7 linked regions of the Xenopus tropicalis genome follow. The protein of the gene in region 3 interacts with the protein of the main gene of each other region in a pairwise test. Links are inferred from orthologs where the notes say so. Each region holds a gene or a part of one and is shown on either strand. Other genes may lie near its edges.

The links.
Region 1: the proteins of nck2 (region 3) and pik3ap1 interact in binary tests that used the Homo sapiens proteins (3 or more experiments, as listed by UniProt). The two-hybrid records come from large-scale screens. The link is inferred for Xenopus tropicalis from reciprocal best matches to the Homo sapiens genes NCK2 and PIK3AP1.
Region 2: the proteins of nck2 (region 3) and vars2 interact in binary tests that used the Homo sapiens proteins (3 or more experiments, as listed by UniProt). The two-hybrid records come from large-scale screens. The link is inferred for Xenopus tropicalis from reciprocal best matches to the Homo sapiens genes NCK2 and VARS2.
Region 4: the proteins of nck2 (region 3) and efs interact in a two-hybrid assay, tested with the Homo sapiens proteins (2 studies listed by BioGRID and IntAct). The two-hybrid records come from large-scale screens. The link is inferred for Xenopus tropicalis from reciprocal best matches to the Homo sapiens genes NCK2 and EFS.
Region 5: the proteins of nck2 (region 3) and lcp2 interact in binary tests that used the Homo sapiens proteins (3 or more experiments, as listed by UniProt). The two-hybrid records come from large-scale screens. The link is inferred for Xenopus tropicalis from reciprocal best matches to the Homo sapiens genes NCK2 and LCP2.
Region 6: the proteins of nck2 (region 3) and cpsf6 interact in binary tests that used the Homo sapiens proteins (3 or more experiments, as listed by UniProt). The two-hybrid records come from large-scale screens. The link is inferred for Xenopus tropicalis from reciprocal best matches to the Homo sapiens genes NCK2 and CPSF6.
Region 7: the proteins of nck2 (region 3) and sf3b4 interact in binary tests that used the Homo sapiens proteins (3 or more experiments, as listed by UniProt). The two-hybrid records come from large-scale screens. The link is inferred for Xenopus tropicalis from reciprocal best matches to the Homo sapiens genes NCK2 and SF3B4.

What each region holds. Positions count from the first base shown.
Region 1 is NC_030683.2:39,660,191-39,663,690, forward strand, and holds part of pik3ap1 (phosphoinositide 3-kinase adapter protein 1), read left to right. Parts: intron 1-136; coding exon 137-282; intron 283-1,869; coding exon 1,870-2,014; intron 2,015-2,919; coding exon 2,920-3,062; intron 3,063-3,500. UniProt on the Homo sapiens protein: Signaling adapter that contributes to B-cell development by linking B-cell receptor (BCR) signaling to the phosphoinositide 3-kinase (PI3K)-Akt signaling pathway.
Region 2 is NC_030684.2:75,890,494-75,893,993, reverse strand, and holds part of vars2 (valine--tRNA ligase, mitochondrial), read left to right. Parts: intron 1-669; coding exon 670-781; intron 782-1,299; coding exon 1,300-1,490; intron 1,491-2,823; coding exon 2,824-2,928; intron 2,929-3,500. UniProt on the Homo sapiens protein: Catalyzes the attachment of valine to tRNA(Val) in a two-step reaction: valine is first activated by ATP to form Val-AMP and then transferred to the acceptor end of tRNA(Val).
Region 3 is NC_030678.2:110,108,230-110,112,421, reverse strand, and holds the start of nck2 (cytoplasmic protein NCK2), read left to right. Parts: upstream 1-1,392; 5' UTR 1,393-1,435; intron 1,436-4,192. UniProt on the Homo sapiens protein: Adapter protein which associates with tyrosine-phosphorylated growth factor receptors or their cellular substrates. Maintains low levels of EIF2S1 phosphorylation by promoting its dephosphorylation by PP1.
Region 4 is NC_030677.2:139,732,673-139,734,840, reverse strand, and holds part of efs (embryonal Fyn-associated substrate), read left to right. Parts: intron 1-1,187; coding exon 1,188-1,523; intron 1,524-1,609; coding exon 1,610-1,726; intron 1,727-2,018; coding exon 2,019-2,168. UniProt on the Homo sapiens protein: Docking protein which plays a central coordinating role for tyrosine-kinase-based signaling related to cell adhesion. May serve as an activator of SRC and a downstream effector. Interacts with the SH3 domain of FYN and with CRK, SRC, and YES.
Region 5 is NC_030679.2:32,310,005-32,314,011, forward strand, and holds the start of lcp2 (lymphocyte cytosolic protein 2), read left to right. Parts: upstream 1-1,207; 5' UTR 1,208-1,395; coding exon 1,396-1,473; intron 1,474-3,894; coding exon 3,895-3,957; intron 3,958-4,007. UniProt on the Homo sapiens protein: Adapter protein primarily involved in signaling pathways within T-cells, as well as other immune cells such as platelets, mast cells, and natural killer (NK) cells.
Region 6 is NC_030679.2:58,918,288-58,921,787, reverse strand, and holds part of cpsf6 (cleavage and polyadenylation specificity factor subunit 6), read left to right. Parts: intron 1-455; coding exon 456-559; intron 560-2,106; coding exon 2,107-2,252; intron 2,253-3,500. UniProt on the Homo sapiens protein: Component of the cleavage factor Im (CFIm) complex that functions as an activator of the pre-mRNA 3'-end cleavage and polyadenylation processing required for the maturation of pre-mRNA into functional mRNAs.
Region 7 is NC_030684.2:128,884,673-128,887,427, reverse strand, and holds part of sf3b4 (splicing factor 3B subunit 4), read left to right. Parts: intron 1-537; coding exon 538-1,074; intron 1,075-2,322; coding exon 2,323-2,484; intron 2,485-2,755. UniProt on the Homo sapiens protein: Component of the 17S U2 SnRNP complex of the spliceosome, a large ribonucleoprotein complex that removes introns from transcribed pre-mRNAs.

The sequences.
Region 1 (3,500 bases), on a different chromosome or scaffold from region 3:
TAATTAATGGTCAACTTTCCCTATATAACCATCATCTGCTCTGCAGAACCTGAGAGTATTCAATGCTGCTAAAAATACATGTTATAATTATATAAATAGAGATATAAAGTATATAATTTATTTGATGTACTTTCAGATTCTGGGTTTGATTCCGTCACAGATTCAGAAGATGATAAGGCTAAAAGAAGCCATGCACTTCAAGCTGAAAAGCTCCAACCAACTTCATTCCAGGAAAGCCACAGAAATCTGGTATCTGTACAACCAGAGAGGATCCGCTGTGGGGTTTGTAACTTTATTCCAAATATTAGATTGATCAAAGCCAAATGATGATGTTTACTTTGGGATATAAGGCTGTGCTATTTTGCACCTAGTACTAAATTAACCCTATAACTCTAGAAGGTCTGCACTGTTCACATATTCATTAGGCATCTAGGGGGTTTTAGTGTCTTTCAGTATTGTATATTCAAAGTAGAAAGTGTGATCCTCTTTAGCTCTCCTGATGTAACCTTACTACATACAGTAGATTAGGGGTCCCCAACTTTTTTTTACTCATGAATCACATTCAAATGTAAAAAGAGTTGGGGAGCAACACAAGCATCCAAAAGTCTACTGGGGGAGTGCCAGATATGGGTTGTAATAAGTTATTGGTAGACCCTATGTGGACTGGCAGCCTACAGGAGTCTTTATGTGGAAGTATACATAGTTTTGATGCAACTAAAGCTTGCCTTTAAGCCAGGAATTAAAAAATAATCACCTGCTTTAAGGCCACTGGTAGTAACATCCAATGGGTTGGTGAGCAGCATGTTGCTCCTGAGCCTCTGGTTGGGGATCACTGACATAGAAAGTATGTTAGCTGATGAGTCTTTTAGGACTATGGTTTAACAGACAGAATCCTCTTTTTTTGTGATTGAAAACTATAGGTTGTCCAATTGGAAGTTTCTGGCATATCCAGTGTAGTTAGTGGTTCGTGTAAATTAGGCACTCAACTAAGATGTTTCTTGCGCCAATGCAGTGCCTACTACTTTTTATTGCTATAATTCCATTCTGTTAATGTCGAATTTGGTAGATTCTGAGTCAGGCAGCCTTTTGTATATGAGGCAATATTTAAAGAAAATATATAAAATTCCACTTATAGTCAGGGGTCTACTTCTACATGGTGTGCGGTAATTAAATCACAACTGTTAATTATGATGTTTAACAAGTGTAGATGTTAAATCTAGGATTTCCTACCATGAACCCTGAGTCTATATGATAGCCAAAGTATTTGGGCCATATTCTTCCCCTCATGACCACAATAGGTTGTAGATTAAGAAAAATGATTGCTGGGAGCCCCCAAAAACATTATGGGCAGAGATAACCGAGTGGTGAGTTTGTACCACAGTCACAGAGGAGTAATTGCAAGTGGTTCATTACATCCACCTAATTAGCCATATAGGTTTTCAGCAGGATATAAATGTAAAGTTATTTTACTAACTTGCAGTGGTGCAGTTTCTTATAGCAACCAGATGAGCTCTGTGCTTTCTTTTCAGTTTTCAAAACTATTTTCTGATTGGTTGGAGTAACATACATAATTAGTCCCATAGTTTTCATGGTTTGGACAGGGTTTGCTCCCTCATATACTTTTTGGTGTGGATACATTTTCTCATGTACAATTGACCCATAGAAAACACAGGCATAGGTATTCTATTTCAGAAACTGTAGGTAATTATGTTCCTTTTACTTCAAACCAAAGAAAGGTATTCCTTTGTAGTCCCAGCATGCTACAATTACACTATACAAACCTCAGAAACAGTGCAATACAGAAATACAGAAAGCTATCATTGCTTCTAAATTCAATGGCAATTTTGTTTCTTCCTTTGTCTTTTACAGATGAAAACGCAAATTTATTTAATTTTTAAATGTAAACTTGATTGCTGTGTTAAAAATGAAGTTTATTTTAATCCTCAAAATGGACAATCCATTCGACTACATGCAACTTTACAAAATGAATATATTCTAACTGTGGAAGCCCCTGGTAAGCAATTTTAAAATGTTAAATTCTGTTTAATGGGTGTATCAAGGGGTGGTTTTGGCTTTCCCAAATCAACAGGTTGGCATAATATAATATTTCTTTCTGACATAATACCCGAAGAATTAATGAAATGCTGCTATTTCACTATTTAGTTTACAGTTGGGACCGATAATTTACAGCATGGCAGGCAATTTTTAGGGAATTAAATAGTCTTTATCAAACTGGAAACTTTTGCTGTAAGTTGCTATATACCAGACCTTTATATTGGCCTCTGTGGTGCTGTTTGGGCCTTTGTGAAATTCACCCCCCCATCAGAATGTGTGATCTATGCTACCGCCCCTAGAGCTGCAGCAGGAAGCTACAGGAGACCAAGCTGTCTTAAACAAATGGAGGGAGCTTCTAGGGCTCTTTACTCAGGTTTGGTAAAGCTTTCTGCAGAATAAATATAGCATTCTAACTTGCATTAATGTGGCAAATCTATTGGCAGTAAAATGCCAAAATGACTTTCCTTCTATTTAAGGGCAATGACACGTGGCGATTAATCTACCGTAAGCAACTAATCTTCTGAAAAGCTTTCCCACTGACAATAATATAAATCGCTGGTGGGAAAACATATTGTTGTGAGGTAGCCTGCAGTTGCCTCTTGAGGACGCTTCAGGCTACTTCAGGAGGTAGCCGCATCGCGTATGCTTCCCCACCAGCGGTTTGCATTTTAGCTAGTAGGAAGGAAACATCCGTGGTAGCCAAAATTTATCACAGGTGACAAATGTACCATGTGCCATTGCTCTTGATCTCTGGCCATACATTCTGGGCAGCAAATTTAATGTACTATGGTGTGGGTTGAGTTGTGGTCTGACAATAGCCATGGTATGTTTCCCTCACCTATGCTGCTCTTCTCTTCTAAACAGATTTACCGGCTGGACTAGTATTTCTAAATGTTTTCTCTGGAGATTTACAAATATGTGAGGCGAAAATAAGTTATTACACTGACATGGAGGAGTTAAGTTACTTGCTAGGAAATGCCACAAGTCCAGTTGAATTCATGTGTCAGGTGAGTAATTTGATGCGTTAGTTATTTTATATAAAAGTACTTTTCAGCTATTAATATTGCTCCATAGATATCTGGCTGTTTAGTAGTGTAAAAAGGCAAATAGAAATGTATTCTCTTTCTGAAGCATTTTAATTTTTGTACTTCCTGGAGTGGAATGTTAATCATAGATTAACATTCAGTTACCTGCAAAACAGATTAGCACGATACTGAATGACCTTTATATAGTATTTAAAAAGATTAAGGGGGTAATGTCATAAACAGTCTTAAAGAAATGCTGTCATAAGAAAACATGTTTTTTTTTTAAAACGCATCAGTTAATAGAGCTTCTCCAGCAGAATCCTGCGTTGAAATCTGGGGTTTTTCAGATAATCCGTAAATCGGATCCCCTACCTTAAGTCTACTAAAAAAATTATTTAAACAGTAATTAAATCCAACAGG
Region 2 (3,500 bases), on a different chromosome or scaffold from region 3:
AGTAGAAATTAGTGCTTTATAGTGCCCCATAATAATGCTACAGTTTGTGCTTTAAGATAACCAAATCAAACTGCACACTAAATTCTATAACCATAAGTCCATTTGTGGGATTCCAAAATATGTTTTGGTTCTCTTGTAAAATCAGTTAACCAAAGCAGATAACTGGGTTGCCTTATGACCCAGTTTAGTTTTGTCTTTTGTCAAAATAGCCCATTTATATACAAAACGTTTTAAAAGTAGCAGTGTTAGTTAACACTGCTACAAGGCTATTTATCTCTTGTTCTTTGGGGTACTGGTTAATTGCTGTAAATGGATATTTCTAATTGTTGCAAGTTATTTGGGGCTTTTAGGCTAAACAAAACTAGTGAGTTCTCATATCTAGATATCAAGTTATCTAGGTCCAAAGTTAATAGTTCTTAAATCCAAATGAACATTCTGTAATTTCATTGTTGTCTGTGTACATTGTCATATTTTATAGGCTTGCCAGAATAACCAGAAAAGTTGCTCTTTTTGTCAATTAGGAGTTGAAAGCAGTTTGCCCTTTTCCATAAATATGGCAAACATCTAATTGATTTTTGTTTGTTCGACCAGGCACAGTTTTGCCATTTTACTACATAACCCCCATCTGTAAGTAAAAAAATTATAGCCTCCTGCTCATATTTGTTGCAGGCTCATTGGAGGTACCCAGAAGAAGTGCAACAGTTTGATTTTGTGCAGTCAGTCATTAGAACTGTGCGCAGTCTGCGAAGCGACTATCACATGACTAAGGCACGACCAGAGGGTGAGTACAGATTGGCATTTGACTGCATACAAGCAAGTACTATTCAGTAGTAGTGTAGCAAAAGGCTGATGGAGGAGGCCAGGGGTTGGGAGGAAGGGTTTAATTATTTTTAAATGTAAAAAAATAGTGTACTTTTTTGATGTTACTGGTCCTTTAACTGATGCATGTTGGGAGGCAGGACACATGGACATACAATAATGGGAGTGATTTTACAAACATGAAATGTTAAAGGAAAATATACTGCTGAATACCTCTTCAAATTTTGAACTGGCAGACATATGTCTGTGTGATACGACGTATTGTATTGTAGCCCCAGGCCCCAGCTCTGCTCTCACCTGTAAGCAATGTGAGAGGAGCCTAAGGGGAACTACAAGACAACTGATGTGTTTTTGCCTCTTAAAATGCTACTGCCACAGACTCTATTTGCTGCAAAAACAAGAGCCATGCTTCTACACAAATGCAACACAGTTTTTTGTACTTAAAACCAAGCTTTATTTACCTTTCTGTTTTCTTATTAGTTCATATTTTCTGCTCCATGGAAGAACATCTCAATGCTCTTCAGTCATTTCACTCACATTTGCCGACTCTGTCTCACTCTGGACCCATCCAAGTCCATATGTTGCAAGATGCTTCTCAGTTCAGGGAGGACCCTGTTGGCTGGGCTACAGAAAAAGTGTCTGAGGGCTGTTACCTTCGTGTTAAACTCCAGGTACTATCTATGTACCATATAAGTGGTTGTGTTATTAAAGCAGTGTCAAGTGCAGTTTAAGTGATCTTTAGTCTCTTAGATGTCCAGTTCTTCCACCTAAGGCTGCCATCAGAAATTGTGTGCCCCATACTACTACGTTATTTAGCTTAAGATTCAAAGTTAACAATTACTGCCCTAGATATTCTACAAAATAGCTGGTAGGGGTACCCAGAATAAATGATAGATCAAAGTATGGGGCTTTCATTAACCCAAAAAATATCTTAGTCATTTTTAAAGACAGCAGCTTGGTCTCTTTTATTTGTGTTCTCCTGCCATAGACTTTATTTGGTAAGACTCTGATCCTAAGATCTTTTGGCTAACTAGTTCTCTTTTCCACCATGCTGCAGTCTGAGAACTATAGCAGTCAAAATCACCTACAGTTCCTGAATTTGCTTACTATTTATTTAAATGGCAAAGCTCTGCTTCTTGGGAATTTCAGGTGTGGTCATAAACATGGATGCAAGCTTTCATATGTGATCCCTACCTGTGGTTGCTAGTGCTTTACATAGACAGAGCATATCTCTTTCCTTTAACAAAAATCTGCTCCTAGGTATTGTAGTTTATCTAAAAGAAGCTGGTAAGACTGAGCTGCTTTCAGTGATGTTTTGAGCCTTTAAAGTACAGGTATAGGACCTGTTATCCAGAATGCTCGGGACCAAGGGTATTCCGGATAAAGGGTCTTTCTGTAATTTAGATCTCCATAACTTAAGTCTACTAATAAAACACTAATTAAACCCAATAGGTTTATTTTGCATCCAATAAGGATTATTTATATCTTAGTTGGGATCAATTACAAGGTTCTGTTTTATTACAACAGCGAAAAGGGAAATCAGTTTTAAAATTCTGAATTATTTGATTAAAATGGAGTCTATGGGAGGCGGGCTTTCCTTTCTTCTGATTCAGAGCTCTCTGGATAACAGGTTTCCGGATAAGTGATCCCATACCTGTAGTACCCTTTTTAAGAACTTTAAGAACAAAATTGCTGTTATTCTTCTAACCATTCCTCACTTAGTAGAGTAACAACAAATATTTATTCTTTTTGGGTTTGGGTAAAATTCATAAAAGTAAATCTTAATAATTGGTGAGGAAAAAAAGGTTGTTGATTTTCTAGGTTGTTCAATCATTATGTATCTCACATTGCAAAGAAAAATCACCAAATATTGCAGTGGTAGAGAATATGAATTGTTGCATACGTTATTGCAATTTTGTTGTGTTGTATCCAACTAATGACATAAATGGTTCCTTTGCATGCATTTTCAGCTCCTCTCACTCTTTTTGTTTGCCCATCTCTCAGGGTTTACTAGACCCCCACACAGAGCTTGCAAAACTGCACAAAAAGCATCAGAATCTTCAGCTTCAGTTTATAAACATGTCAAAATATGAGAATGGCGATAATGAGGTTGGTTCCCTCTCTCCACGTGTAATGTTACTCTGACTTTTGTTTATTTTATTTATCCATCTCTATTGTCCTCCCTCTCTTCTGATGAGTACCTTTACTCTTTTCTGCCTTGTTGGTTCTCTATTTAACTTTTGTATTTTCTGTGGAATGCTATTACATGTTTATAGCATTATACAGATTATGGTTATCAGGCAAGTGTAACATAATATTATTTAATAAAGAATCAGGGGACTCACTGTGTCTAATATAAGGGAGATTAGGGTTACACAGCATACAGGCTGTGAGGAGATTATGGAGGAATACAGCCCATTTCTGTTTCTTTTTTAATGAACAGTGCGTGTCTGTACAGTCAGACTTAGAAGACAGACTAGCTCTGTTCCTAATAGTAGGAAGTATGTGTGCGCAGTGATGGGTCTCCCAACTGTGTATAAGTGTTCATGCGACCCTTTAACTATGTGTAATTTTTTTTATACCATACAGAATAGTAATTAAAACAATGTACTTGATAAGCTATAAGCCCCCTTGTCCCTGAAAATAGTTTTGCACTGGCGGTGCCAGGAATCCCTGTCCAA
Region 3 (4,192 bases):
CAGCTGCTATCTTAAACAAAAGGCTTTTTACTCAGGTAGGTAAAGCTTTCTGCAGAATAATTTGGCGACTCTATTGGCAGTAAAATGCCAAAATGACTTTCCTTCTACTTTTAAGTTCTTTAAACGTCGTTTTGCTGCCCCTGGTAAACTTGAGGGCTGCTGCTGCCTGAGACGAGTTTCTCAATTCGCCTTATGGCCGCAGTGCCCCTGTATAATAAAATATGTTTTATGGTTGGACAGCTTTAGTCCACAATAACTATAATGACTATTATGTAGCTTGGCACCCCAAAAGCGACTATACATTTATAAAAGATTTCTAATAAGTACCATTTGTGAAAATAATTATAATATGGAGAATTGTTCATCTAATGAAAATACTAGCATAGATTAGGGGGCACATTTACTAACCCACGAACGGGCCGAATGCGTCCGATTGCGTTTTTTTCGTAATAATCGGTAATTTTGCGTTTTCTTTGCGATTTTTTCGGCGTCTTTACGATTTTTGCGTAAAAACGCTAGTTTTTCGTAGCCATTACGAAAGTTGCGCAAAGTCGCGATTTTTTTCGTAGCGTTAAAACTTGCGCGAAACGTCGCGCCTTTTAAGTTTTAACGCTACGAAAAAGGTGCGACTTTGCGCGCAAGTGTTAACGCTACGAAAAAATCGCGACTTTGCGCAACTTTCGTAATGGCTACGAAAAACTCGCGTTTTTCCGCAAAAATCGTAAAGACGCCGAAAAAATCGCAAAAAATACGAAAAAATCGCAAAAAATACGAAAAAAACACAAAATTACCAAAAAAGTCGCAAAATGTTCGTTTCCAATCGGAATTTTTCCAATTCGGATTCGAAATCGTGTCTTAGTAAATCAGCCCCTAGGTGTATACACAAACTTTATAAATATTGTGATGTCAACAGCTTGTGCACTGCTTCTTTTTCTTTTTTTGATGAACATCTTAATATCTACATTAATTTCAGGTAGCTAAAATATGAAAGTGTGTATCAGTGGCTTTTCGAGACAAGGCTCTGATGGCAGCAGGTACTGTTGGCAACAAGGACAAAGTCTTTCTTTCGTTCCCTGTCACAATTCAGAACTCCGACTAGAAAATATGAATGACTTCTGAGGAAACATCGGGGGCAGAGGCGGCAGCGAGCATGGCGGTCACCCAACACCAAAGAAAAGTCTTTTTTCTTTTGTTCTCTATCAAAAGTAGGAGGTGCGAGCATTGGAAAAAGAGATTGGGAGCTGACCAACCGCGGCTGCCTAGCAGCTTCCCACCGTGTAACACTGAGCCAGGCCGGCTCGTCACTCCCACAAGGCGGCGCGCCAATGTGTCAGTGCGTTACGTGTAGCGGCGATGCCAGTCTCGCGTGAGGAGAGATGTGGCGCTGGGAGTGTGTGTAGGACCGGAGCCTGCAGTAACAAGCTCTTCGGGAGATGTAAGTAGCGATACGGGACTAAGGGCTGTGTGAGGAACAGCGGGACTGTTGCAGTATGCACTTACTTCCAGACTTGGGGAGGCAGGGCGGGAGCTGGGGTACCAGCATGTTCTTTCCCATACATAGGTTTCTGTACCAGTGGTTTTGTGACAGAAGCTTTAGTCCCGGTAGAGCTGGATTGGTTAAGCTGGGGGTGAAGTTCAAACTCCCTCCTACCCTATTCAGTTCCCGGGACTAAAACTTCTGTGACAGAACAAGCAGAATACAAGCTGTGTAGGAGAAAGAACATGCTGGCACCCCGCTCCCGCCCTCCCTTCACAAGTGTGCAGCTCATTGACATGAACGGGCTCGGTAATCCTGCAGCGCTGCCGGTTCCCTTTAGGACCCAGAAGTCACCCACCCATTCGCCACCGATGCTGGCCCTTCCTTTGAGGGTCCCCAGGCAGCTGCTTCGCGCACTGAGCTGCTGTTACATGCGAATGATTGTATTCAGTGTGCGGGTCTGTAGCGCTGCATATTGTCTGTGTGAATACATTAGTGCGTGGGGGAAGCCTTTGTGCTATTGCCTTTACTTTCTGGCGTGTAAGTTCTTGCAATAGGGACTCTTTTTTTCAGTGCAGTTGTAAATGAATTCGATCCTCGCACAATAAATGAGTTGAAGGCGGGGATGGGGCGCAGATTTAGCGCACATTGATATTAAAGCTGAGTGGTTGTGATAAGTGCAAAGCAGGGCCAACCTGCAGCCCCACAGTTGTTTCCTATCATGCACCACCTCCAGCATGTGGCAGCTAGGTGTATGTGGGCTGGCATGGGCTGCTGGGAATTAGAGTTCAAAGGCTAAAGAAGGTTGGACATAACTGAGGGCTGCTGAATTTGGGCATTTTAGGTTTTATTGGTGGGGTGAATACCCTTCTATTATCACATATTCTCAGTATTAACACATTTGCTGCTGGATTCCAAGCTGTCTCTGGATGCAATGTCAGCACTAGAACTATTCATCAGAAGTGTTTATTCTGTTGAGCAGCAGCACACAACACTATGGGATTTATTTATATTGCTGTGTACGAGTATGTGGAGTGAAACATTACCGGTGATGTTGCTCATAGCAGCCAATCAGGTGCTTTGGTTTTCTAACTGTTGAAATCTGCTTGCTGATTGGTTGCCTTGGGCAATATCACTACTTTTTACACAGCAAGATAAATATACCCCTATGTGTGATGCCATGTGTTGGCAGGAGTGGTGTAAAGATCTATGTCACTGGACTCCAAGGAGGTGGAAGATGCCTCTCTCAAGGCATGAATCATTCCTCGCATTTGCCCGTCTGACTTAGTCTAGTCTGGGTAAGGTAGATGCAAGTAGGACTACTACCTGCTTGAATGTGTAAGGGTGACAATAAAGCTGGAAATGAATAGGTGTCTGGGTCCACTTTTTAATGGTCTGGGATAGGGTTCTTGGTCTTATTAAAAGCAAAGCTTAAAGCTTCAGTGAACAATGGCATTCTTGATCATTTCTTTCTTTATACTTTGTGGCAACAGTTTAGGCAAGGTCATTTTATGTCTAGTATATTAATACCCATCTTGCACAAATTGGTTTGCTGAGATGCAAGCGAAAAAGATTGATCTCAATCCAACTGATCACCTCTGGGTACAGCCCCCTCCTTGGCTCCTAATAAGTTTACAAATATAAGTACACATGCACTTACTGAAATTCTAGGCATGCCCAATATAGTTGATAAGCATTTACTCTTAAGGGTATGGCCATGCAAGGTGAATTGTTAGCCTGCATATAAAATAAATGCCACCCCTGCCATCTTAGTTACATTACCCAGGTGTCCTGCTTTAGATTTAGACTGAGATGTATATGCAGTAGGGTAAAAATTTCCATTTGTACTCTGCTGAGGTAGAAATACCTGATACTGCAGCCAGTATATAGCATTCCTAACATATTGGCACCATTCAGTGAATCAGGGTTTCCTTATCCAAAATTGACTTTAAGGCTTGGCCCTCCCTTCTAGTACTTCTAGTACTTCCCTGTGAGGCCATACCCACAGTTTGGCAACTACTGTTGCAGGATGTGTATCCACATGCATCTGAAATATTAATGTGCATTGCATTAAACACATAGGGTGTATGTTTGTTTGTTTTTTTCAATATGATTATAAATGCACAATATTTTGTCCATGCTTGTAGTTATGTATGTGTGACAGTAGTATGTATAAGTGATCACTTTATACAACAACTAGGATATTGCCATGCATACATTGTAAAATGTAACTGCAGATGGAGAAAAGGAATGTGTTTCAGGTAGCAGGTAAGCTTTTTTTCTGTTTTTAGTCTCCTGATACAGAGATTCTTTTTCAGTATTCTGTGTTCCACAGTCTCTCCATGTTCACTGGCCATTTGTGGTGTGTTTAGATTCAGTGGGTGGCAGCAGATGTTGAAATATACATAGGCTATAAATGTGCTTTCACAGACTGCATTGCAAACTTTGGTTTACAGCTGATTGAAAACAGAGCAAGGAGCATTAAAAATACAGTGCAATGCAGGTGCTTACGCACAGTCTTGTGAGTATGATGCTGTAGAACAACATGTGTTTATTTTAAGATCACTTTTTATGCAGTTGTTCTATAGATTTTGAACTCAATTGGCATAGCAGATGGCCGATATATTATTATGGTACAGTAGCTTTAAGGGGCATGGATCTCTACACATAAAAAAAAAAAAAAAATACACTACAGGTATTAAACATTATAGGACT
Region 4 (2,168 bases), on a different chromosome or scaffold from region 3:
AAAAATCTAGTTTGGTTTTTTTTTTCTTTCCTGAGAGCAAACAGAGAAACTGAAGCTACTCTATGTTTGTTTCTTGCAAGGAAGGCAATCAGATAACCAGTATACAACCCTCCTACCTTCCCTCTTCGTTGTGACTGTTTTGTTAGCAGGAGTCCATTATGCAGAAGGATTATCTGTGCACTGGAAATCAGTTATTTACCTTACAAAGACTAAACATAGAGTAGTACATAAAGTGTGTTCAGCAGAAGCACCTTTAATGATCTATAGCAGGGCTGTGTTGAACCGGGCCAACTCTGCTCCCAATTACTTGTGATCCAAACTCCCTCATGCGTTACACAGCCATGACAATAGCTATGCAAAGCCCAGGGAGATTTCTACTGATTACGACAAGGACCAAAGTACTTTATTAAGCTGTATGTAATAATAATATTAATAGTAAAGTGCATATTATAAAATTTAACTAGCACTAGTTGCGCCGCACCCCCCATCCCCGGTCCTTGGAAAAATTGTCTTGCTTGAAACCGGTCCGTGGTGCAAAAAAGGTTGGGAACCATTGATCTATAGCTTTTCTAACAACAACAGTTCTTTAAGATCAAAATGCCTGTTCCTGAGCAATGCTGCTGTCAGTCGGGCATCACTCAAGAGTGGTGGATGTCAGCATTACAAAGAGACTGCATTATAGGCAATACAATTCTCATTCAGGTAAAAGTACCTGCCTTGTGGAGATTAGTCTTTTTAGACTGTGTGTTATGAACACAATGACTTTACACAAGTATTTGTCCTACCAAACAATTTTATTTGAATAGTTATTATGCTATATTGTTTGCTTTACTACAATCAAAACCTATTAGTAACCACATTTTAAAACAAATATCCATGCAAAAAAGCATTTATACTTTCTAATTATTAAAACATATAGCTTTGTATCTTTTAATGCAATTACAACTGTGCTTCCAGCAGGATTATGTGTAGTTCCTGAAAAAAAGTGCTGAATTGGGGGATCGTGGCTGAATACATGTCATAAACTAATAGTCTGAATACAAATTTTTGTATGTTTAAAAAAAAGTGTTCCAAAGGCTGATTATTAGTTTTATATAGTTCTGATGTTTTTTTATGTACAAAGCATTGTCGTCTTTATTGTAGTTACTACCCGCTAATTGCGGTATTTGGCTTGTGTCTCTCCTTAGGCACAGCTGGCTCAGGCTTTGTACGACAATGCTGCTGAAAGCCCAGAGGAACTGAGTTTCCGCAGGGGCGATGTGATGCTAGTTCTGGAGCGAGATGCTCCATCCCTTGGTGGATGGTGGCGTTGTTCTTTGAGAGGGCAGCAAGGCATTGCTCCTGGAAATCGTCTTCAGCTTCTCCCTGAGACATCACAACAGGAAAGCGAGTATCAGGCTCCCCGTTTTCTGGGGGTCACAGCAGAGGCTGGAAGACTACATATAAATGAAAAAGGAGCACAAGAAAATAGGGAGGAGCCTCAAAATCATGAGACAGGGCCCCAGCATCAAACTGGAACTGAGGTGAGGTATATGGATTGGATGCCATCAGGAATTAGGAAACTTGACAGAGAATGTAATAATATAATATTCCCCATTCTTCTTTTTAGGTATACCAAGTCCCTTCTATTGCCCGTCTTTGTCTCTCTGCCCAACCCACAGAAGCTCAGGATGACATTTATAACTCACCACGTCTGGTTGGGCCATGTATACAACAGCCATTGGAGGTGAGACCATCAGAACATTCCATTTATTGCACACACCCACATTTAATGGTATCCTAACAACATGTTTAGACTGTACACAGAGCTCCATTATTTCCACAACTTAGCAAATATAATATTATCTTGTTATCATAAAGTCACCTTACGCCAAGTGCTTTTGCACTACATTTATCCACACACTGCTGCCACTCATATTCAATCATCTTATTGCATGTTATGGATTCGTTACAAGCACAATTCTCAATATGATTGTAGCATCAAGTTTCACTTTTCAATAAGTGTTTTTTAATTGCAGGTTTATGATACTCCTGCTGCACTAAGAAGAGAGCCAATTTCAGCATTAGACATTTATGATAGTCCTGCGTTGAGAGTGAAGTCTACAGATTCAGCTGCTGTGGTGCCTGAGGAGATTCCAGAAGATATCTATGATGTTCCTCCTACATTC
Region 5 (4,007 bases), on a different chromosome or scaffold from region 3:
GGTGGCCATACACGAGGCGATTTCGCTCGTTGTGCGATGAACGATTATATCGACAAACGATCGTATGGCGATCGAGTTCCCATACGATATGCCATCCACGGGCAACGATAATTCGGGAAAGATTTTGTCGCATCATTATCGTAAAATACCTACGATCGTACATCTACGTACGATCGATGTCGTTGCTGGCAATCGTGACATGCGCAGAGAACAATCGTTGAAAGACAAATGTCTGACACTCACACCAACTGGCAGATTTTATCGTTAAACGACCAAAATTTTTAAACCTGGCCGATCGATTTTGGGGACGATAATGTCGGCTCGTTTAGTGGGCCGACGATCGTTCGTACACCACCAACTATACGATAACTTAACGATAGCATCGGATCGTTCGCGAATCGGTCGTTTGTAAGTAAAAAATCGGTCCGTGTATGGCCACCTTAAGCCGCTCTTTACTTTGCAAGTTTGAATGATGTACAAATTAGAGGGTTGTGGGGGACAAGTGGGGGGACACCCACATGCCTCCCACCCCTCACCAATACAGTGCTGATTAACACAGTCACTAGTGGCGTAACTACCAGGGGAGCAATTTGCAAAGACCCCTTACTTCTATTTTATTAAATAAATGGATGTGGCCTCTTTGCTAAAATTCAGACGAGGGAATCCTGCTGGATTTGATCACATTTTCAAGATGTGGTGTCTATTCTGCAGGATATGTTATGCACCTCGGAGCTGTCTAACACCATTCTACTGTGTGGGGTATTAGAGCTAGGAAGTAGCACTGAGCTCTAACACCCCTCTAAACCTTTATTCTCAGATGCAACTCACAGACATGGATTATGCCTTTTTGTTACCTCAATAACTATATTATTTCGTACACAATTCCCAATAAATTGCATTTTTTCAATATAATCTGAATTGTAATTTCATGCCTAGTATTTAGGAATACAGTTCCAAAGTTAACAAACAATTAATAGAGAATTGTGTGCCATTAAATAAAGTATGCGCCATAAATTCCCTATTAATAGTGCTGTAAGGGAAGGAGTATGATTAATAATTGTTTTGTTTATTTTTTTTAATGTAGCTACAGCTTAACACCATAAACGAGTCTCATTTGAGGAAGTGGTACAGGAAGTCAGTTGCCTTTTTCTGAGAAGCGAACGTTCACACCAAGGGGAAGTTGCATTTTCAAAAGATGATTCAGTGTAACTGAATGGCAAAAGCTGCATTGTGTATTGTGTCTGTATTGTTTAACTAAAGCAGGCACTGACTACAAATTTCACAGGAATAGACAACATCTTTAAACTTCTTGGCTTGGCCAAAGGGATACTGTGAAGGCAACTGACTAATATGAAACAACCTGTTCTGTAAAAAAAAAGAAAGAAGAGAAAAAACATGGATTTCCGAAGCATCCCTTCATGTTCCGAAGTCAGCTGTTGGAGCCCTGAAGCTCTCATTGAATATTTTAGAGCTGTAAGTACTGTTATATAAAACTATATATATACTGTATGTATTCTGCTGTTATACATTTTACACACACACACACAGCTCATAAGAGCTAAGAACTTTCTGCAGTAGCGGTATCAAGTGGTTCCTATAGAAGTCAACAGGAGGTGGTGAGACTCTGTTTAATGCCAGTAACAACACAGTATTTAGAACCTGTTTTTAGAACCTTAGAATGCAAGCAGGAATGTTTAATGATACGCATTTTGTAGCTGTTATTATCTAAGAAAAGAAAAAGTATATATTTTTTAGTATATTTCTACCACTTGCATTCTAAGATTTGTACATAAAATAAACATATTTATTTTCAGTAATAAATACTTTTTTCAGTAGTTTCCTTTTCAGAACTAAGTTGTGTTTTCAGTTTCCAACTCTCCTAAATATTGTGAGACCTTGATAGAAGGGACCCATTTATTTTGTTCTTGGCTTCTAGCCTCTTATTGACAGAATTGTTTATTGGACTTTTTGTCTCTGCCTAGCTATAGTCCTTCTTACCCCATATGCAATTTGTCTGCTGAAATACAGACACAGCTCATTTTATCTAGATGTTTCACACATTGTGGCATGAACCATATTGTACCATTTGTGCCATATAAGCTCTGTGATGCCACAATGTTTGCTCCATCTGAATGAGCCAGTTTAACCCTTGCCATGTGTTAGCATTCAGGCTAGACTTGTGCCATGCAAAATAAAAGTAATGCTGCACCTCTCTGAGCTCAAATTTGGAACTTTTTGGAATACTGTAGCCTTTTTACTGCTGCTCACTAATGTTTTGTGTCCCCTATGTCCTTTACTGGCTGTACTTCCACCTTTTATTTCCCTGCTGTTTCTTACCTTCGCTTATGTTTGACAAAATGCTTTAAAGGCCTTATAATGGTTTGGCAACAACGTCAAATGTTGAATGTGTCTCTGTTTTACATGAGAGAGGTTTTGCATGTAGTGAGCTATAAATTACCCCCGTTCCCTGTTATTTTTTACTTAATGTTTAAAACAGTTGGATTCTAAATGGGGGGCCTACAGCACAACTGAAGCCTGAATATCAGCTGGCAAAGTAGTTTCTTTATATAAACTCAGTTAGAACCCTGGAATGAAATGTGCAAATTGGCAAGTGAAGGGTGGCAGGTCACTATATTTAAATGCAGACACAACTCTTTTAAAATTGTGTTGTTACTGGGCTTTAAATTAATGTAGTCTCATGCACAAGTCATTAAAAAATGTTACATTATTTTAGAGGTATGGGATCCATTATCCAGAAACCCGTTATCCAAAAAACTCAGTATTATGGGAAGGCCCATTTTAAAACATATTTCCTTCTTTCTGTAATAATAAAACAGTACCTTGTACTTCATCCCAGCTAAGAAATAATTACGCCTTATAGGAGGCAAAACAATCCTATTGAGTTTATTTAATGTTTAAATGTTTTTTTTAATAGACTTAAGGTATGGAATTCCAAATTACGGAAAGATCCCTTATCTAATAACCCCCAGGTGACATTCATTCTGGATAACAGGTCCCATTTCTACTTGTTTTGCTAGCAGCCTATGGAATAACATATTCAGTAACACATTGCCATTAACAGCAATGAAATAGATATCTTGTAGCTTGGCAGTGTTGTCCACTACATATTCAACACCTGTGGTCAGTGGTTAATGTGGTTCCATAGTGGGTATCTTAATGCACACACATACCCACACGCAAACAACATTTGCATTGACTATATAGACCAAAGAATAATACTAATGTAGCATCAATGCTAGTCTACAAGCAATATCTCAAATGCTATCAATGCTTTGTCAAATCATTTACTTTTTTCTCCTGTAGATCAGTAAATTATAAAATATTTTTTAGCAAACTTACTACTACAGTAAAAACTCAATTTTACATACCCTGATTTAAAGTTTTTCCTTATTTATACCCTTTTTTTGTGGTTCGACCATTATATAGTGCATAAAGCATTTTCCTGATTTTATACTATTTTTTTGGTCCCCTGAAAAATGTAAAATGGGGGTTCTGCTGTATATATAAAAGTCTCTCTATGCATCCATCATTTACTCCTTAATATTAATGTGTCATGTATAAACAGGAGAGATTTAAGGATTTTTTGTGAATGAGATAATTATATTTAAATCTATGCTTTCCTAATTTGCTTTGGTATTATTACCTCAACACCATAAAATCTATATGAAGTCAGCAGAAAGCCATTTTATAGAATACAGTATATCATATGAATACCCATACATTGTTATAAACCGTTATTTGTGTCATTATCAGGTATAATCAGTTCTTAAGTTCTTAATGAGTTGGTTACTCTATGTCTATGTAATGAAAATGTAATTAATTTGTGTGTGTGTTTTTTTTTTAAATGCCTTTATGTTTGTTTCCTTTTAAAAGCACAACCTTCGTGATTGTGAAAAGTTGGTCAAAAAGCAAGGCATTACCGGAAAGAGATTTTTGGTAAGAATTTGATTCCATGGTTAATGCACTGGTCTTTTTAAGGCAGTACA
Region 6 (3,500 bases), on a different chromosome or scaffold from region 3:
TAGTTTATGTTGATTTCATGCTGCACAAGGTGTTTTGACCACTGCACAAGAAAACAACCACCACTAAAAATATGCTGTCTGCATTTATTTTATTCCTGTGAAAGGCATATATCTGCCTTTATCTACACTTCAACAGTGTGTCCTATATCTTTGTTGAATCTGATTGACAGTTTCATATAAACTACATTAATATATGAACTCAAGTGTTTGGGGCAAAATCTGCCTGCACACTTTAAAAAATTCCGTATTCTTTATAGAACATCATTATTTCTTATCTTGGAAAATGTGAGAAAAGTACAATTGTTAAATTTTATCTTGTGTGGTTTTTGACATTTCTGCATATACAGTAGCTGCATTTTTATGCATGATTTATTTCTATTCTATAAATGATTTTGCATAGAATGGTTTATTTCTGTAGGTGTAATGTGTCTCATCATTTTCCTTTCTTTGTGCAGTGGACAACTGATGAAGACTTGACAGATGCTGTTCATTCTTTGGGTGTTAATGATATTTTGGAAATAAAATTTTTTGAAAATCGGGCCAATGGCCAGTCAAAGGGGTAAGATTGGATGCTTTTCTGGATTTTCTGCTAATTGTTTTACTTAGGTTTAATGGTTTGGATGTTAAGTTTGACAAAGGTTCTGCCTTTAAGTAACAGCAGCCATATTACATTGTTAATAGCAGTGTCTTGAGTCAGGATAAGGTTTCAAGAAGGTTTATAGGGGGTGAGTAATACCAGAAGGGTTTTTTTTGGACACATTTTAATATACTTGTAAATAAATGCAAAGATCTAAATGTTCTTTTACCTGCGCTGGTAATTGCATTTAATGATAAGTTCTTAGACCGTCAAGGCAGGTTGTTTTATTCTCTGGCAGGCAGAGAGCATGGCACAGACAGGCAGCACAGGGCAGGCAGAGTATGGCACACAGTGAGTATAGGGCAGGCAGGGTAGGACAGGCAAAGTATGGCACACACAGGCAGTACTCTGCTTGCTCTATGTTCCCTGTATATGTGCTATAATTTGCCTGCCCTATGTTGCTTGTGTGTGCAATACACTGCCTGTGGGAGGTGAACCTGGCAGTGGTTTGTTCTGAGAGTTTGTAAGCATTTGGAAATAATCATTATATGGTCCCTAAGGTGTGTAATTATATGCTGGGGCATGTGGATATAAGAGCGTGTCTTAATTAGACATAATATAATTCTTTCAGATGAAGGGAAATATCCCTACAGTGAGCACCAACAAGTCTGGGTTTTTGCTGTGCTACCACCATTAATGTGGGTATGGTCTTAAAAGCTCTTGTGATTACATGGGTGTGGTGTAAAGTGGGTGCAGTTTAAAAAAAGGGTAGTGGTCAAAACTGGCTTCCATTATCAGCCCTCCACCATGTAGGCCAGAAAATTTTTGGTCCTCGGTACCACAGAAGTTGGACAGCACTGATATAGATACATGAAATCAATTTGCCGTGATGTTTCACTGTAGCTTTAATCCTTTGTTGGTGTGCAATATAATTGCTTGGGTATACAAATGTAATATCTCAGTTGCTTGGTATTTCACGTGCTAGATGTTTTACCCTGTTTTGCAAGCACATCTTCTGTGTTTTAAAACAGCAGGGTACATTGGTTGGAGATCATTTCCCTAAATTATCTTAACCCCTCTGCTGCTTTTGTTTACTTTGGCTTTCTCTTGTGGAATGTTAGTACAGGTATGAGACACAATATCCAGAATGCTTGGGACCTGGGGTTTTCCAAATAAGGGGTCTTTCCGTAGTTCGGTTCTCCTACCTAAAGTCCGCTAAAAACAATATTTAAACAGTAATTAAACCCAATAGCATTGTTTTGCCCCTAATAAGGATTCATTATATCTTAGTTGGAATCAAGTACAAGGTACTGTTTTATTATTACAGAGAAAGGAAATCATTTTTAAAAATGTGAACTATTTGATTAAAATGGGGTCTATGGGAGATGGGCTTTCAGTAATTCGGAACTTTCTGGATAATGGGTTTCCGGATAAGGGGTCCGATACCTGTAGTATGAAATTAAAGAACATGAATAAATTGGATATCTGTATATAAATATATTAAAAATACATCCTTTTTTGTTTTAAAGGTTTGCACTTATATGCGTTAGTTCTGAATCCTCATCAAAGAAGCTTATGGATCTTTTGCCAAAAAGAGAGATGCATGGCCAGAAGCCGATTGTTACACCTTGCAACAAGCAGTTCCTTAGTCAATTTGAAATGCAGTCAAGGAAAAGTAAGTATTATGTTAGTTTTTAAATGTATGATTATTTTTATATAGTGTGGCATATTCACAGCACTTTAAAGAAATTATACATCATTTACAGTCTGGAACTTTCCAGTCTTAAGTCTACATCATATTCATACGCACAGACCTGCCTATATGTTTTAGACCTGTGGGAGGAGACCTCCGTACCTGTAGGAAATCCACTCCAACACTGCATTATAGAAATATGATTTATGTTTTGCAGCGTAACATGAGAATTAAGTGTAGTATAATACTTAAGGTACAAACCCACAGGTGCCTGCTTTTTGATATGTGGTAGATTCTTAAGCTGGCCACACACGTGGCGATTTTCGATCTTTCGTGTGACCATCGTCCTCACGAAAGATCGTTCCAATCGGCCACTAACGTTCAGGGCTGAAACGGCAGATATGGAGGTAGAAACAATAGGATTTCTACCTCCTTCTGCCGATTCAGCTCTGAAGGCAGATTTTGCTCAGCCCGATCAAAATCTTTTAACCCACCCGATCGGCGAGTCGATCGATATCAGCAGCCTCCTGCTGTACGATATTATCAGTGCGTGTATGGCCAGCTTTATACATTTAACTGCACAGTGAGGCAATTGCTATTTTATTCCAATCTGCACTGTTTCTATGAGTGTACATCAATGCTGAGCACAGGAGAATTGAACACATTCAATTAATTTCTCTGTTCAGTGTTGATCTCCATTTATGTAGTGAAAACACTAGTGGAACACTGGAAAATCCAGTTTCTATTAAAAAAAAAATAAAAAATATATATATATACAGTGGTGTGAAAAACTATTTGCCCCCTTCCTGATTTCTTATTCTTTTGCATGTTTGTCACACTTAAATGTTTCTGCTCATCAAAAACCGTTAACTATTAGTCAAAGATAACATAATTGAACACAAAATGCAGTTTTTAAATGAAGGTTTACATTATTAAGGGAAAAAAAAAACTCCAAATCTACATGACCCTGTGTGAAAAAGTGATTGCCCCCCTTGTTAAAAAATAACTTAACTGTGGTTTATCACACCTGAGTTCAATTTCTGTAGTCACCCCCAGGCCTGATTACTGCCACACCTGTTTCAATCAAGAAATCACTTAAATAGGAGCTACCTGACACAGAGAAGTAGACCAAAAGCACCTCAAAAGCTAGACATCATGCCAAGATCCAAAGAAATTCAGGAACAAATGAGAACAAAAGTAATTGAGATCTATCAGTCTGGTAAAGGTTAT
Region 7 (2,755 bases), on a different chromosome or scaffold from region 3:
AGCACTGTCTTTTTTTTTTTTTTAGTAGCCACAACAAGTAGCTGCTATTAGTAGTTCCATGTGTGTTCAACCTTAAGGCTGAAGACACACAGAGCTACTAGTAGCAGCTACTTGTAGCAGCTACTTGTCACAGCTACGGGAATAGACAATGCTGATCATTTGCTGATAATTGTCTCCGTGTGTTTTAGCAGAGGCAATTCTCACTATTGTCTGGCAGGGGATTTTCTGGCATTTAGTAGCCTTGAAAAAGTAGCTCTGTGTGTCTTCACCCTAAGTGTACATGCTTTGCATCTCACAGCAATAGTGCTTTTATGTTGTCCTTCCTTCCACCCCCAGGATCATACATCTTTGTTACTGTTAGTTGATAACATTGCTACAATATCATATGTGGCTTTGCTGAAAACAAAGGAATCATTCCTTTTTAATGGCGGGGTGGGTCATCAATTTCTAGCTATGGAAGCTGCCATGTTGCACTCCGTGCTGAGTATATGTATAGATAACAGACAGGTGATACAGTCTCTGATGGTTTGTTTCCAGGTTATGGCTTTGTGGAATTTCTGAGTGAGGAGGATGCCGACTACGCCATAAAGATTATGAACATGATAAAGCTCTATGGGAAACCCATTAGAGTAAATAAAGCCTCGGCGCACAACAAAAACCTGGATGTCGGCGCCAACATCTTCATTGGAAACTTGGACCCAGAGATTGATGAGAAGTTGCTTTATGACACCTTCAGCGCTTTTGGTGTAATCTTGCAGACCCCCAAGATCATGAGAGACCCAGACACCGGCAACTCCAAAGGTTATGCCTTCATCAACTTTGCCAGTTTTGATGCTTCGGACGCAGCCATTGAGGCCATGAACGGACAGTACCTGTGCAACAGGCCCATCACCGTCTCCTATGCTTTCAAGAAGGACTCCAAAGGAGAGCGGCATGGGTCGGCCGCAGAGAGACTGCTGGCTGCCCAAAACCCACTTTCACAGGCTGACCGGCCTCACCAGCTTTTCGCCGATGCCCCTCCACCTCCGTCTGTACCAGCTGTCATTACATCATTAACAAGTGCAGTTGCTGCAGGTGGGTATTTTTGCTTTTCAGCTGGCATTAAAGCAGGGACTGGTTGTGGGGCTGAAAGTGCCAGAAGTTGGGAGTTGTAGTTTTGTTACAACAGCAATGTTGAATGTTGACTTTTTTTTTTAATAAGATAGATGTCTGGCAAATCATCTGATCTCCCTGAAAGTTTGCAGGGGTTTTGGCCTTATGATCTTAAGTATGTACTGAATTAAGGGTTTTACTAAGTGAAGGATGTTATCTATCATGGAGAGTGTTAACCTTCTGGCTTTGTGTGCCTTAGTTAGACAGGCCAGCTTTGTTTTCTACAGGAATGAAACACAATGAATATTCTAGATATGTCTTGAAGGCAAAGCTAGCTAGGTAATCAATTCTGTCTGTCTGGGCACCAAATTGACATTTTATTCTCTATTGGTCTGGACTCAAATTTCCCAGAAATATTCTATGTAAGGAGCCATATAATAAAAATATAAGGGATAATGTACCTGTAAAAACATAAGGATATTAGAAGCCACTGGTTCTGTGACCATATAAAGGCACAAGGCTGCAGGCTGAGTTATACAGGGAACTCTGATTATCACTCATGTATTATAAGGGATAATGTACCCCCTACTGTAAATGATAAGGATATTAGCAGTCACTGAGGGGTTCTGTGACCATATAAAGGCACAAGGCTGCAGGCTGAGTTATACAGGGAACTCTGATTATCACTCATGTATTATAAGGGATAATGTACCCCCTACTGTAAATGATAAGGATATTAGCAGTCACTGAGGGGTTCTGTGCCCATATAAAGGCACAAGGCTGCAGGCTGAGTTATACAGGGAACTCTGAGTATCACTCATGTATTATAAGGGATAATGTACCCCCTACTGTAAATTATAAGGATATTAGAAGTCACTGAGGGGTTCTGTGACCATATAAAGACATGCTTTTCTGGGGCTGTTGATTGAATATTTGGGATTTTAAGTGCCGCGGTGCGAGCAATGTTGCATGGAAAGCAGTCAGTGTAGAAACAGAATGTTTGTTTCATTGTAAGAGTACAAATAAGCACCCTGCAAAGAAGCACTTGTTTATCTTCTGTCTGTTGCTTTCTGTGGTGACCCCAACAAAATATATGCACCAGGCATGCTATGAAGTGTCAGAAAACTGATAGACTTTTTCCAAGTTTTGGCATTGTAAATAGATAGTATAGGATTGCATTTACCAACAAAGCTGTTAATCATTGTGCCCTAACTTGATTCTCTTTTGCAGGCATGCCCACATTTCCTCCTGTCCCTCCACCTGGTGCAATGCCGCCGGGTATCCCACCCTCAATGCCGCCTCCTCCAATGTCTCCTGTCACAGGCGCCGGGCAAGCAGCTGCAGCTGCTCCTCAAGTCCCACTTCCTTTTCAGTCTGCAGCTATGCATCCAGGCAAGTTGCTTTTTCCAGTGATCATCTGAAACACAGGGTGTTTTGTGTAGTAGTTTAAGTGGCTGTCTGGCTGGGGGAATTGACTTTTACTTTACCTGTCAAAGAGGATTGGTTCTTCCTGTATTGTGTTTAGAACATGGGTTCGATTGATAGACATGATTTACAATAATTCTCTGCTTGCCAAGCTATAGGATGAAGAACATCTGAAAATCCCCTGCCATAGACAGTACTGAGAATTACCTCTGCTAAAACACAAAGAGACAACTATCTG